4 linked regions of the Arabidopsis thaliana genome follow. The protein of the gene in region 4 interacts with the protein of the main gene of each other region in a pairwise test. Each region holds a gene or a part of one and is shown on either strand. Other genes may lie near its edges. The genes, in order: CRF6, CRF7, CRF3 and AHP4.

The links.
Region 1: the proteins of AHP4 (region 4) and CRF6 interact in a protein complementation assay, tested with the Arabidopsis thaliana proteins (one study listed by BioGRID).
Region 2: the proteins of AHP4 (region 4) and CRF7 interact in a protein complementation assay, tested with the Arabidopsis thaliana proteins (one study listed by BioGRID).
Region 3: the proteins of AHP4 (region 4) and CRF3 interact in a protein complementation assay, tested with the Arabidopsis thaliana proteins (one study listed by BioGRID).

Annotation. Positions count from the first base shown.
Region 1 is NC_003074.8:22,803,646-22,807,087, reverse strand, and holds CRF6 (cytokinin response factor 6), read right to left. Parts: upstream 1,909-3,442; 5' UTR 1,815-1,908; coding exon 867-1,814; 3' UTR 561-866; downstream 1-560.
Region 2 is NC_003070.9:8,134,633-8,138,017, reverse strand, and holds CRF7 (Integrase-type DNA-binding superfamily protein), read left to right. Parts: upstream 1-1,983; 5' UTR 1,984-2,192; coding exon 2,193-2,672; 3' UTR 2,673-2,838; downstream 2,839-3,385.
Region 3 is NC_003076.8:21,617,155-21,620,812, forward strand, and holds CRF3 (cytokinin response factor 3), read right to left. Parts: upstream 2,128-3,658; 5' UTR 1,872-2,127; coding exon 807-1,871; 3' UTR 560-806; downstream 1-559.
Region 4 is NC_003074.8:5,552,190-5,556,333, reverse strand, and holds AHP4 (HPT phosphotransmitter 4), read right to left. Parts: upstream 2,138-4,144; 5' UTR 1,984-2,137; coding exon 1,939-1,983; intron 1,861-1,938; exon of another isoform or gene 1,851-1,860; coding exon of another isoform or gene 1,824-1,850; coding exon 1,693-1,823; intron 1,620-1,692; coding exon 1,551-1,619; intron 1,317-1,550; coding exon 1,245-1,316; intron 1,052-1,244; coding exon 979-1,051; coding exon of another isoform or gene 967-978; exon of another isoform or gene 941-966; intron 864-940; coding exon 816-863; 3' UTR 545-815; downstream 1-544. UniProt on the Arabidopsis thaliana protein: Functions as a two-component phosphorelay mediator between cytokinin sensor histidine kinases and response regulators (B-type ARRs). Plays an important role in propagating cytokinin signal transduction through the multistep His-to-Asp phosphorelay.

The sequences.
Region 1 (3,442 bases), about 17 Mb from region 4:
TAAAAATTTAAAAATTTTATTTATCATAAGATTTTTCACAATTTGTCACATACTTTATATTAAAGATTTATGTTATATATAAAAAAAGGATACGGATTTACATTTAATACACTCAACAAAACCAGCACCAATTCTACATGACTGAGAACATTTTTGTAGAAAGCGATAAGTAAACCATGACATCGCTTCATAATAATTGGTAGATAGGAGCACCACAGTTTTATTTTATTTGTCACAACAAAACAACAATTGCATATGCAAAAAAAAAAAAAAAGAAGAAGAGAGGTGTTGGTGCATGGTGATTACTATTTAAAATATAATTTTTTATATTTTAAAGTACTATATATATAAATATTTTTTGATCTCTAATCACAAAAGATGATATCAATAATATGATACAATCATTCATTTATAATTAGTCAAGATCATGACTTTTCTTGAATTTCCAAGACTGTTCTGACAATTCTATTTGTGAATAAGTTTTTTTTTTGTTTTTTTACTTCGAAGTAAAGACTTGTTTCACTTGTCGCATAATCATAATAAAATTCCATACGATTTGTTTTTCATAAATAATTTATAGACATAGAAACACATTTATATACTGCTTCCTACCGTTGAGACAATCTCAGAGAGAGGAACCAAAACAACGAAAGGTCCAAACCTTGATAAACATTAACATACTTATCTTCTTCTTAACTAAAATATTTACCCACAAATTAATAAAACAAAACCCTAGTTTTTTTGGGTTTGCGCTTCAGTTGATCTGAACAGTCCACGTCATTCAGACTAAAAAAGGTAAGCCGACGGTCACGATGTATCCACGTCATCATCACCACACAAAAATTTCCCCAAAAAAGAAGAGATTTTTAATCGAAAGAGTGATGATGATGGTCGAAGAAATGATCCACATCCCATGGAGAAGACTCGAAATCATCAATCAAACCAAACTCGAAATCTTCAGTTTCGTTTTCTCCTTGTTTCGAAACCTCTGTGTTTGGTAACAACGTTGATTGGATTTTGGTTTCTTCATCGAGAAACAAAAGGTCAGGGGCAATTTCGGTATCCCAAAAACATTCGCCGGCGAGAGATAAATCCGGTAACAGATACGGATCCGGGAACACCAAACCCGCCGACGATTCTTCTTCTTCTTTTATAACCGTCGACTTTCTCTCCGGAGATAGCTCGATCGCTTCAATCTCATGCTCTGTTTCCTCGTTGACGTTGAATCTTAGAACAGAGGTCGGTGAATGAAGGCTCTGCCGAGAATCTCTACCGTAATCGCAGGCGGAAACCGTTTGGAGATCGATAACCGGCGTTGGCGTCGGCGGAGTTAGGAAATTCGTGAGCGCTTTAGGTCCTTTGAGATGAATCGCGGCTCTATCGTACGCTATAGCAGCTTCCTCCGCCGTGACAAAAGTCCCAAGCCAAATCCGAGTACGGCTCGACGGATCTCTAATCTCCGCCGCGAATTTTCCCCAAGGTCTCTGTCTCACGCCTCTGTACTTTTTAGGCTTCACCGACGTCGACACGTCATCTTCAACCACTACGCTTTCCTCCTCCTTGTGCTTACCTTTCCTCGCCGCGGTGGAGGAAGAAGATTCACCTTGGCAGAATCTAATCTCCTTCACGTATCGTTTCACTCTTGGAACCACCGTGACGTTGTTGTTGTCGTCGTCGTCGCTAGACGAGTCAGTAGCGAAAGGATCAGTAACAGTGATACGGACCAGTCTCGGAGACCCGTTAGATGGTGTAGCTGCTACGTTTGTGACCGTACGATTCTCTGTGAACTTCACTCGTCTCGTTCGTCTCTCCATAGAGAGAGAGAGAGAGAGGGAGTTAAAAAATGAAGAGAGGTTTTTTTCACTGTTTTGAATTTGCAGAGAGAGAGAGAAGAAGAGTCAAAAGGTTAAAGAAGAATCGCCGTTTCTCAGGAACATCCTTCTTAAATACTATTAACTCATCACTATTTTTGGAGATTTTTGTTTAGTAACGTGATTTTTTCTATGTAATTAATTTAATTAGATTTTAACTGTTACAGAGAAATTGATGCGTGTTCAACACTATTCATATGATATGAGACACTGACCCAATCAAAACTCATTCAACCTTATAACTAAACGTATCTTAAAATATAGTTGGTGAAATGACATACGTTTATCAAAGCTTAACCTATTGAAATTTAATCCGGTTAATGGAGTTTATAAACCGGGAATTAGATTTGGATTTAATGTAAAGAGGGACGATGCTTAAGGGCGGTTTCGTGGCGGCCAATGGGGGATCCAGAAACGGCTTTCCGCATCTCAGATTGAGACGTTAGATTTATGACACGTGGTAGTTACCGTACCGAAAGTAGAGCCAATTGTCCTAATCTATAGCTTGGTCTCCAAGCAACTTTTAACTCTTTTACGCGCGGTCTGTTTTACGTTTGCTACACGCGCCGGCTAGTGGGCTCCACGCGTGTGAGATTGGTCACGAGTATGTGTCAATTCGCATTGACCCAATATGGAAATTGTGAAGTTTAATGGTAATGAATCTAACGATGTGTTTGAAAGAGTAATAAAATCTCGTCTTTAATATTAAAATATATTTTTAATTTCGGAAAAAATTTATGATCTTTTGCTTGGAGACCAAGTCTCTTATCAGAAACTTTATTAGAAAAAGCTACTATTAAAAAGGTAACTAGAAATTAGATTTCCATAGTTAATGGTTGAGCTTTGACTAGATTTGGTCCTAAAATAATAATTGAAAAATAAGCTTTTATTATATCGATAATTCTACAAGTTAATATACCAAATCTTGTAACTTACAGTAATTCTATATTGTTTTATTTTGAACCTTATATAACTTACACGAATTCACCTGTGATTTTATAAAAAGATACATGTGATTTCAAGACTTTTTTTTTACGTGGGATTAGTCAGGTACTCGTGTTAAAAGTTAGACCTTAAAAATAACAGTCAGTTTGATTTAATAATAGTTAGTAGTATGTATATGGAACATTAAGTCGGAGAGGGGTTAAACTCTAGTGTATCGGGTTGCTTGGCATGGAACAGATATCGCGGAACCGGTAAGTCGGAGTGGTTAGCTTTCTGGGAGAGTTGTGGTGGGTTGGTGCGACGGCGGAGATAGGTGCAGATGGAAACCGGAATCTTCCAGCTGCGTTTCTCGATCCGTCGTCTGCGGCCGCAAAGCTGTGATGCTTGAGTCCGCCAGATATAAGGCTCCGACCACTCTGCTTCCGACCAGCAGCAAGGTTCGAACCTCTTTGTTTGTCGGTGACTTTTTCTGTTTAACCTATTTTGTAACTGGATTTCATCTGTGTATTGGGTCTTAGCCCATGCCCTATTGGGTTGTTTTTAATATATTAAAAAAAAAAAAATTGTATATGGAACATTAAATTGCATGACATTCGTTAGGATAGTCGTAGTAGGTACTACTTTTA
Region 2 (3,385 bases), on a different chromosome or scaffold from region 4:
AACAAAACAAAATCGAACTGAAAAAACCCCTAAAATAAGAAGAAATATAAACAAAGCGACAACGAAACATAACAAGAACGAGAAAGTACGTTGGGGGATTGAATTCAGCTCCAAAATAAGTGTGGTTCTATGAAATTTTTCAGACCTATTATTGATAACATTTCTAAGATGGATATGGACGTTTATACATATAATATGGTAGTCCCCTAGATTTTATAATAAAATTTGAAAAACGTTATTTAAAGAAATGTATACGGTGGCCATTTTTCAATCCAGATTAGAGAAGTAATTGTGGTCGTAGAATATTAATTCATGCATGTCCTCATAGTCAATTTTACAAAAAATCAGAAAGTTTAGTCTTTCACTGATGTGACCTGTGGAACATCATGATATTTTATGAATGTTAAATTTACCATTTTTTTGTTTTGACAGCTTATAAAATCAGATAGTTTATACGTTAACCAAAAGTGCCGTGTCAAATAATACGACTTCCGGCCCATAGATTTCTTTTATCTGGCTACAAATGAAAAATGTTTAGTTATACATATTTTATAGAGTCTTATGTCATGTTCTTATATTTTGTGGTACTTACTTATACACCAGGAAAAACAATCAGTGGTCACGAGAATACTTTAAAGTAACAGAGAGTTGATTGTGCTTAAGAATAAACTTAATTGGAAAAATTTGGTTTAGGGGAAGATTAGGTTGATATTTTGGTAAACGTCCCTTTTACCTGTTCGGTTTTATCTTCTCTTCATATTTAGTGGTGCAACGCAACTTCTGGAGATGAATAATTTATAGTCCTGTAACTTGTGGAGGCGAATAATAAATAATTCAGTCATATCATATGCATATATGAATATATGAGAAAACGATATTAATATAATTAATATCGTTGTAACTTGTAAGTGCGTCATATATAGTTGAAATCATACGAAAGATATCGCAATTAAGGATCAATCGAAGAGTAATATTATATTATTTCACACTTTTTCAAACCTGGTCTTACACATAACACATCTTATAAAACATGATATCATGCGTTTTACGTTAATTGGTTGATAATTTGATTCACTGAGTGGGTTTTACGTTTTCTTGTTGATTAAGATTTAGGGTATAAGCAAGTTAACTAAGCAACTATAGGGTACCAAAACTATCTTTGTAAAATAAACATATACAACAAATGTTTTGATAGAGTTCATGAAATTGTACAATGCATAAAATAAAACATTGAGAAGTTCTAACTGAGTGGTCACATATGTTAGCGGTCCATACATAATTTAATTCGTCATCATTAGAGAAACAATATTGCAAATATACTAAATCTGAGTTTGAGAAAAAATATAGCTTGTAGACACACTTCAGTACCTAGTGATCAAATTATCATATGACATATGATACTTATGTGAGTGTGACTATGTAATTCCTAGTTGAAAAAATACATTGATGATTGAAAATTACAGTCTAGAAATTATACCAACTAAATTACCTTGGTACAACTTATATAAGTAAGTAGTCCCTATAATAAGCCTACACTCTCTACAAAATAAGTAAAGGAGAAGCCTTGAAGGAGAACAACATGTCAATTCAAAATAGTCATGGAATCACTAAAAGGCCTTAAAGAAGTTCTTAAGGCCCAAAATAAATAGGTTTTTCGGAATTTGAAGTCCAGTTTTCTGCGAACCAGACTAGTTCTGCTCACTTTGGGTTCTTTCAGGTGGGCTTGAAAACTAGACAACTGAGTCAGACCAAGATCTTTTTTTCTTTTCAAATCAATATTGTTGTTGTTGTTGTTGTAAATCAATCTTTGTGTAGAAAAAAAAGTGAAAAAAATGATCTTGTTATGAAATTCAAAATCCATACAGTATTTGTTTTTCCTTCATGATTTTACTTTTTTACCAATTAACTTAATAATATTTTTGTCCGAAAACAGATTTTTCGAAATATTTGTTGGTCATCAATTTTGAATTCAAAACCGACTTGATGAGATTGATCAATAGTTCAATACTCATAATTACACACGGATTCTAAAAGATAAGAGAAACAGTAAGTCGGTTAATTTTGGATTAAGTAACGCACAAGCCAAAGCCTTCTCCTGATCGAATCATAAACCAAACAAATCTTTCTTTTAAAAGAAGCGGACACAAACCCTAACCACCAACCCTCTCCGTCGTCAAATTTCCCGGCGAAAGATGAAACGAATTGTTCGAATTTCATTCACAGACATGGAAGCAACCGATTCTTCAAGCAGCGAAGACGAGTCACCACCGTCATCACGCCGTCGAGGTAAGAAGCTAGTCAAGGAAATCGTAATCGATCATTCTGATCCCCCGGAGGTCGGAAAAACTCGGTTCAAAATCAGGATTCCGGCGAGTTTACTTGCTGCGAGGAATACGACGGCGAATAAGAAGAAGTTCCGTGGCGTGAGGCAGAGACCATGGGGGAAGTGGGCGGCTGAGATTAGATGTGGTAGAGTTAAAGGAAGACCTGAACGAATTTGGCTTGGAACTTTTGAAACAGCTGAAGAAGCTGCTCTTGCTTATGATAACGCTGCGATTCAGTTGATTGGACCTGATGCGCCGACTAATTTTGGCCGTCCTGATGTTGATTCTGCGGTGGTGAAAAAGCAAGATTCTGATGCTAGTGGTGGTGCTTCTGAAGAAGTTGTTTGATTTTCTTGTTTATAACTAACTTTGCAAGGTTACTTTTGTTTATCATCATCTTTTGTAAATTTGATCATCTTGCTCTTTGCTTTTTAACTTCTCTTGTACATGTTTGAATTATAAAAGTTCTAATTTTTCAATCCAGATTCTTGGTTTTCATAATTGTACATTTTGATCAGCATAACTATTGCTTAAAATTTCCATATTGGTTTTACCTTAATTGATCAAAAGTCTTTCTTTTGGATCGAAATTGAGACAATTGTTCTACCAACTGTACTTGAAAAACTGCTATATTTCTCTTGCAATTTGGTTATCTCCTGATCTCTTTTACTTATGATGACTCTGTTAGATGCTGCTTTCATGAGCGTTTCTTTGTTAAACTAACTTGGTCGGTCTTGTTGTCACTTTCACCAACTGAAAAGAATTAATATGTTTTAAGTATGTTAAATTGCTGTCAAGCTAGCTAGGGATGTTGTACCGACCAGCGGAACCGGTGGAGCAGTAACTGATTTATTAAAAAAGGTTGTGAAAAAACTGATCTGGTTAACTTTTTGAGCCGGTCCTCCTCAGTAGGACCATCTTTGTCAAAACTTTGATCAGACCGAAAAGCTGTGTTCAACCACATTAGCCTAAAGCTTAGCTCACAAAGACCATCAGAACAGAACAGGCTGAATCATCATCACATATTTTTTTAACAAAACCATATAACAAACTATTAGAAC
Region 3 (3,658 bases), on a different chromosome or scaffold from region 4:
AGTTTATTAAGATCTAACACACTCAAGTTTCACTTACAAAAACGACCATCATGAATAAAATGTCATATGGATCCCAAAAATCCATCTAAAAAAAACACCTACCACCAACATGTTCGAATTCTAGAACATTGCCACACACTTGTCTTTAGAAAGAGTTCTTGAATGATATTCGAAAATGGTTACAAAAAGTTTGTGATGTGTTTGGAACTCTTTCCAAAACATTTCCATCATAAACATGAATTTCTGATAATGTTCGAATTTAGGATTTGATAGTAATTTTCGGAATAATAAATGATATAATTTTGTGTTCTGTACAATTAATTAATTTACATTTTATTTTGAAGTTTATATTACTGACAAAATTTAAGATTAACATGACTATTACAAGACAAAACACCTCTTCTCAACCAGACCAAACCCAAAGGCCAAAACCTCTCAGTTCACTGGCCACGACCGTAATTTGCGCCTCATAGTATGACTTTACAAAGAGAATGCCACTTTGGCTTTTCTAAAATTAAATAATTAATTAACAAAAAATAAATAAATGCCAAATGCTTTGAAAATTAAACACGTTCGTGCAACTAATAACGCAATTACTTAAATAAATAAAGAATACAGAATAATTAAACTATTTTTCCACTATTTCTCCAAAACTGTTTTACAAGCTCCTGACAAAACTAAATAAATTATTAAAAAAGAAACAAAAAAGCTCATGAACTTATGAAAGAAAAAAAAGTAACACCAAAATTTTTCAGTCACACCATAGATATTTGCTTGATGGTTTCTTCTTCACTCTCATCATCATATTAAGCAACTAATAGATCTGATATCAATGAATCATCAAAATCACTAAACGTTGAACCCATATCTTTGATACTAGAACTTGTTAACTCATCTTCAATGTTCATAGTTTCACCACCCAAGAACAACATATCATTGAAGATATCATCATTTTCACAGAAAATTTGATCCATTGGTTGGTCAAATATTGACATCTCTGGTGGTGATTCATTGAAATAGTTGTCAAGAAACGGAGTATCCAAAGGAAATGAATCGTCTGATTCACCTAAACCGGTATTAAACCCGGTATGCCACCATGGTGCATTTGAAACCCCCGGTTCGGGTTTAGCTGATTTAAACGGTTGTTGTACTTGTTGAATCTCTTCTGACCGGTGATTGAGAACCGAAGTAGGAGATGAGAGATGTTGTAAATCTTCTTCAGTTGATTCAGAACTCGATGTTGTTGGTGTTGGCGTCGTCATAATAACCGGTTTCTCCTCAATAACCGGTTCCGGTTCTTCTTCTTCTTCCTCTTCTTGAGGCGGTATGGAGAAATTAGTTAAAGCGTCCGGTCCACGGAGTCTTATAGCGGCGTTATCATAAACCACGGCAGCTTCCTCCGCCGTCTCAAAAGTCCCGAGCCAAATCCTCCGACGTTGCTCCGGATCTCTAATCTCCGCCGCCCATTTCCCCCATGGCCGTTGTCTAACACCACGGAACTTCTTTATCTGACCGGAGACTGAAACTTTGTTATTAGGACGTTGACGACTCGACGCCGGAGATTGAGTTTCATCGGAGGAAGAAGAGAGTCTCTTTCTATCTTTCATCGAAACTCCGGTGACGACGTTGTTACAGCTAGGCTCAACAGTGATCTCGTTAACGAATCTTTTGACTCTCCGGCGAGGAAACAAGAAATCTTCTTCGTCTTCGTCACTTGATGAATCTGTTGCGTCAGGATCAGTATAACAAATACTAACCTTTTTCAATGACTTACCACCGGAAAGTTTTTCCGATGACTTTTTGGTGTATTTAGTCATTGAAGTCTTGTGCTCTGTGTACTTCAATGGTCGGAAATCAATATATTCGTCCATTACTGTTTCTTTTATGGACTCTCTCTATATTCGCATCAAAATGAAGAATATAAAAGGAAGAAAAGCTTGCGAATCAAGGAAAGTTTCTGGGTTTGTTGAGAGAGATTTCGAGAGAATCAAGAAGAAAATAAAACAAAGTTTGAAGAGATTTATCACGAGATTTTTTGGTAACAAGAACAAAAGATTTTTTTTTGGTGGGTGAGAGAGAAAAACGTGTTATGAAACAGTGATTTTTTTTAGCGATTCGCAAGTGGAGACCTTCTCTAGCTCACTCTTGAAATGCTAATTTATAGGATCTCTTCGGGGTTTTAGCCATAATTATTTTATTCATTTTTACAAAAGTAAACAATAAATTCGAAAACTATATAATATATAATATTTAATATCATTTGATTTCTTTCCTTGTCGAAGCTGTTTCTTTCCGCTCCTCCATCAGTGGCATTTTTCCGTAATTAACTACAAAACTCCAAGGGTAGTTTCGGGTATAAGAGAGTTGTTTAAAAATACGGGACGCCGCATTCATGAGCGCAAGTCGCATGGTGACACGTGGCGATATTAGATATTTGGCTCCTTCCTGTATGTGCTGAGTCAGCGCGTGGCTTCTAGTCTCGAATTTCGCGATTCATGTCACGTGACCCCCAAGATACCCGGTCCCGGTTTTTTTAAATTTTTTTTTACCTTTTTAGTTTATTTGATACTAATAATAAAAACAAATTTACTTACTACTTCTCAACAAATTTTTTATCACTCCACTAGCTTTGACCGACATTAAGTAATTAATGATGATTGTTGAGGGTAACTTCGTCTATTTGAATGCAATTTTTCAACTTGTCACGTACGAATGTTGAGGGTAATAAAATAAATGCGATTTTTTAACTGTTAGGGAAATAAAATAAATGCGATTTTGTCAAAGTTGAATACGTTGTATTATACAATATACATTTTTCCATGTTAGATAATCGAATAATGTTAATTTAGGGAAGATGAATATGTGACTGAGGAAGTTATGTATTTAATTTTAGATATTAAAATGATTTTAGGACGAAAATATCTTTGAATCAATATAAATATGGTAGTTAAATTGAAATGTTACCATTTTACAGCTAGAAGTAACGTGGCGAGCAACCTAGGATTTGCCGCCATTTATAATTCGGTGGTGTGGTACGTCTCTAGGCTTTTTTCTGTACTCTTTGTTCCCTCACTCGCTCTTCCACCACTGCTTGCTATTCGTACTTTCCACGCGCTTCTCAAGTATCTTTTTTTTTTTTTTTTTTTGAAAACTATATTTTTGATTTGTTGTAAAAACAATCTTCTACTAATATCTTTTTGTTGGGGTTTTTACTTGGGTTTAGGGATATCAAAGCTTACTACATCTGTTCCTAATTTTTTGGACTAGTAAAAAAATTATTTTTCTGTTTGGATGGCAATGAGATTTGAAATTATGTTATTGTAAACCAAGATATGATATACTTGCTTTTTAAATAAAAAAAATTATGATTGTATTTTAATTAAGTAGCCATTTTAATTTTAAATTTTACTCTCTCTAGTTCATAAATAGTGTAATTTAGAATCGTTTTTTTCTCGGAAATATGTGATGTTACATTTCTGATATATTAAATAGGAACATTTAAATAACTTGAAGATGTAAAAGACTTTTTGTTGCTCAATAAACATAAACCATGTACATTTGATAGAGAAAATGTGTCAAATTAAAAGCTAGTTTACATACATATAACTTAAACACAAAACACAAACTCTATGCATGTACATATATTAAAGAGTTAAAG
Region 4 (4,144 bases):
TAGTAAATGCTGGGCCATTGAAAGAAAACGTTTTACTTTATCCACAAACAAACATTTGATTTATTTATTTGCATTGGTGAGTTAGTTTTTTCATGAAATAGAAGGTCTATGTGATATTCTTAAACGACATCGTTTGAAAAATAGGGCATGTAAGAGAAATTAGATGGAAAAGTGTAATATTAATTGTTTATGATAATGTTATTATTTTAGACTTTTAGCTAAGAATAGTTTGCATCTAAGCCATGGCATTCTTTTTTTTTTAATAATTAGTTTTAGTAGAGACAAATAGTAACATAATGATAATGTTATTTTAGACTTTTACCTAAGAATATTTTGGTTTTTTTTTTCTTTTTTAAATATTTATTAATCAGTACTAGTAGAGACAAATATTAACATAATGATATAAAAATAGGTAAGAATATTTAGGATTTGGACACGGTTCCTGGAAACAAACCGAATAATGTAAAGCTTAGTTTCTTTTTTTTTTCCTTTTGTAAACAAGGTAATGCATTCATCATAGAATCGAAAAAATGCATTTTTTTGGTCCACTCTTTTCTGTATTCCGTTATTAGAGGAAGCCATATGTTACGAGGTAATCGTAGCTATAAAACTCCCAAGGGAAAATTTGGCGATATAAGGGGAAAAACATAGAGACATTTGGACCGTTTATTAACGGACATAATATAAAAGTCCAAAACCTTCTTTATAACGTACATCGAAATATATAAAAATAAAGAGGAACTATTTATTATATAGTTTTGCTACAAAATTCGACGACGATTCCTCATTTATCTCTGTCTCTCTCTCTTTCTCTCTTACTTGGGCCTACGTGCTGTCTCCTTAGGCCCCGCCTGCCTTGCCAACTGTTCATTACAAAAAATTTCACTTCAGCAAATACTATATCAAAAGTGATTGATGATAACTTCTAATCACATTCTAATTATGTAAATTATTAAGCATAATTGATTATTGGCTCGCCTGGAAATAATGTTCAAGCTTCTTTCTCAACGTTGAGTGTTCTTTCTTCAGTTGCTGGAAAGTCCTCAAGCATCTGCAAGTAAGAAAAAGCGAAGAAAACTAATTAGGGGGTCGAAAATGAAGTAAAGTAAAAGTTCAAGGTTCAGCGGATTAATTGCAGCAATTTTAGCCATCTAAACTATACTTATTTTCATTTTGACCCCGTTACTTAGTTTTCTGTTAAAAACGAGAAGCATGAAGGTATATAAGTATAAAGACGAAAGTACCCTTCCGCATTTCCAGCTCTGCAGTATTCCCTAAACGTAGTGCATTCAGCTTTCACTTTACTTGCCCCAATGCTACAAAAAAAAGAAATGCAACATTTGTCAGTATAACTAACGATCATAAAATCTAATTATTTCTGGTTAAAGTAGATTCTGTCATTGAATCCTGAATGAGAATGGAAGTAATTTTAATGTACTTTTGCGTTACATTCTTTTATCTTATAAACATTTAAGTATTCGCATTTCTTTAAGTAAAATTATTTCTTGAAGGCGTAATTAGAATAGTCAAAAACTAAGGGGGGAAATTACCTCGTGCTGCTTCCCTTAAACTGATGCATGTAACTATCCAGCCGATTGAAATCAAATGATCCTCTTTCCCTGCATTGTAAAAATGATTAGAAAACTGAAAAAAAAAAAATATATATATAATAGAAAACAAAATAATACTCACAAAGCTTGGTCAATGTTATTGATTAACCGAGCTGAATCTTTGAAGTATAATGCGGAAACTTCTTCAACAAAATTAGGGTTTGCATCATCTTGGAGCTCTTCTAACTCCATGAATTGTTCGTCGAGATATCCCTGCATGCATTTTCCTATATTAGTCATTTTCTAAATTATATGAAGAAATTCATATATAAGTGGTACGACGTACGAAGTTATATTACGAAAATACGAAGAAACAAACGACCAAAACCTGATCAAAGAGGGACTGCTTGATGAGTGCCACTTGCCTCTGCATGTTTGTTTAAATTTTGAGAATAGATTTAACTATAAGTGCGAAAAATCAAAGTGATAATTCGTTTTTATCTTAGGTAATTCGAGTGGCAATGCAATACTGAAACGTTGGACATCTGAGATATATATAGTGAAATATAGAATAAATAAATAGATCGTATTACATCAAAAAAGAGAAAGTAGAAAAGAGAAGAGAATATTTGTAAAATGATGGGAACCTGCAACGTAAGGGCATGAATGCTGTATTCTACTCCAGACATAAAAAGAAAACGTGTATTCGTTATTATCAGCTTATTTCGATGACACATAGATGTATACTCAGTATAATTTTCTATAACTTCTCTATAAAATATATGTATAACACAAATGGTAGGTGTTATCAAATGATCATATATGTGTGTTGATATATAAGTTTGAATGTATAGTAATCTTTTATATATATAAGATAGTGTTTATGTTAAAGTTTTGAATAAGAGATTTCAATTAGAGAATTCCTCAATGTTGATTGTTTAATTAATAGTATGGTCCATTATGAAACTTAAACTACTGTGGATGATTGATCTATTGCCCAAAAATATAACTGAAATGCATCTTAATTAATAAGTAATCAAAGGATCTCACGAATGGGAATACGACTAATATTATATATATACGTACATCATAGAAACATGTAAAATTTCGAATATAGAACCTAAAAGCTAAACGTTGATACTATACGAAACACACCTTTGGAAATGAGGCAAATATATACTAGTAAAATGTATGTGGACACGAATTTTCCTGAAAGTGAAAAAGAAAGTTATAGATTGAAAAAGTATACAGTTCAAGAAAAATATTCTGAACAGACCATTTCCGTCTTGATTAATTACTGAATTTAATTCATGTTTTCACAAAGTTTTCTATAATATCATTGTCTTTTCTTTTTTCTTTTTTTTTTTGTTATTTTTAAGGTTGTGATTTCCTGATTTTAATGGTACCAATTACGTACACCCACAACATTCAACTATATATGTACATATGAATTTACGAAATGGGCAAAAAAAAGTTGTACTTTTGGAAGAAAAAATTGTTGGAATCTAGCACACTAGCAAACACTATTATTGCTTATCTTTTGTTTCAACAACAGAAAGCAATACTAATTCGAAGTATTTTAGTTTGGGGTCCGGAATTCAATTACTAAGTAAGGATTATATCTTGTGATAAACATTAAACGACATTTTTATATTAAAAACATAGTCAAGGTTAGTATCATGATCAAGACCAGAAATAAATAGATTTCTATTGGGGTTTTCTGTTTGATGTGTTTTCTTTCTCTTTGACCGCTGCAACAAACATTGAAAAATTAGATGCAAATCTTTTCCAAGTTTCTTCCATTAATGTGTGGAGGTGAGAGGGTGTTGTGTGCCAAGGAAAGGCTAGTACTTGTGCGGATGCGTGTGTTTCCTACTTCTATATTGTAACAAAAAAAGAAAGAAGTAGGAAACCAAAAAGAGAGAGAGAGAGAATAAGGTATACATATATCCAACGAGTAAAAAATAAACCATAAATTTCTGTTATTGGAAACAAGGAACAAGTATCTAAAAAGGAAAAACTGAAGAGCACATAACAAGTGTGATCTAAATGATTGACACAAAGACATAAAAGATCTTTTTATCATTACAGCATAATTTGTTCCTTTCTATATCTCTTTCTCTCTCAGACAAGCATCGTGAGATCGAATTACAGAAGAGAGAGAGATTGATCATATACAAAAAAAAATCAGCTTTATTTATTCCTCCGCCCACCAAACCAATCTCACATAAAGGACTTGTCTACTACATATTTTCGGTGGAAGTGGGTTTAGAATCTAAGTTTTATTATTGCTTGCTGTCTCATCTCGATTATTCTCCTTAATTCCGACCTCCCCTCTAATAACAAATATGTAATACCACAAAATTAGAAGAAACAAAACAATTCATTCCAAAACTTGTGAGGTTGGTTTTACATGATAAACCCCAATTTTGTATTTAAATCAAATGTTATTATGTTTACCTTTTAGTATTATACAAGATAAAATTCTAATAAAAGAGGACAAAATTCATGACATTTATCTAAATTTTGTTGTATATGTGTTACACAATCCAATTATTCCTTTATATATATATGTGATCTTAATTTTATAAAAG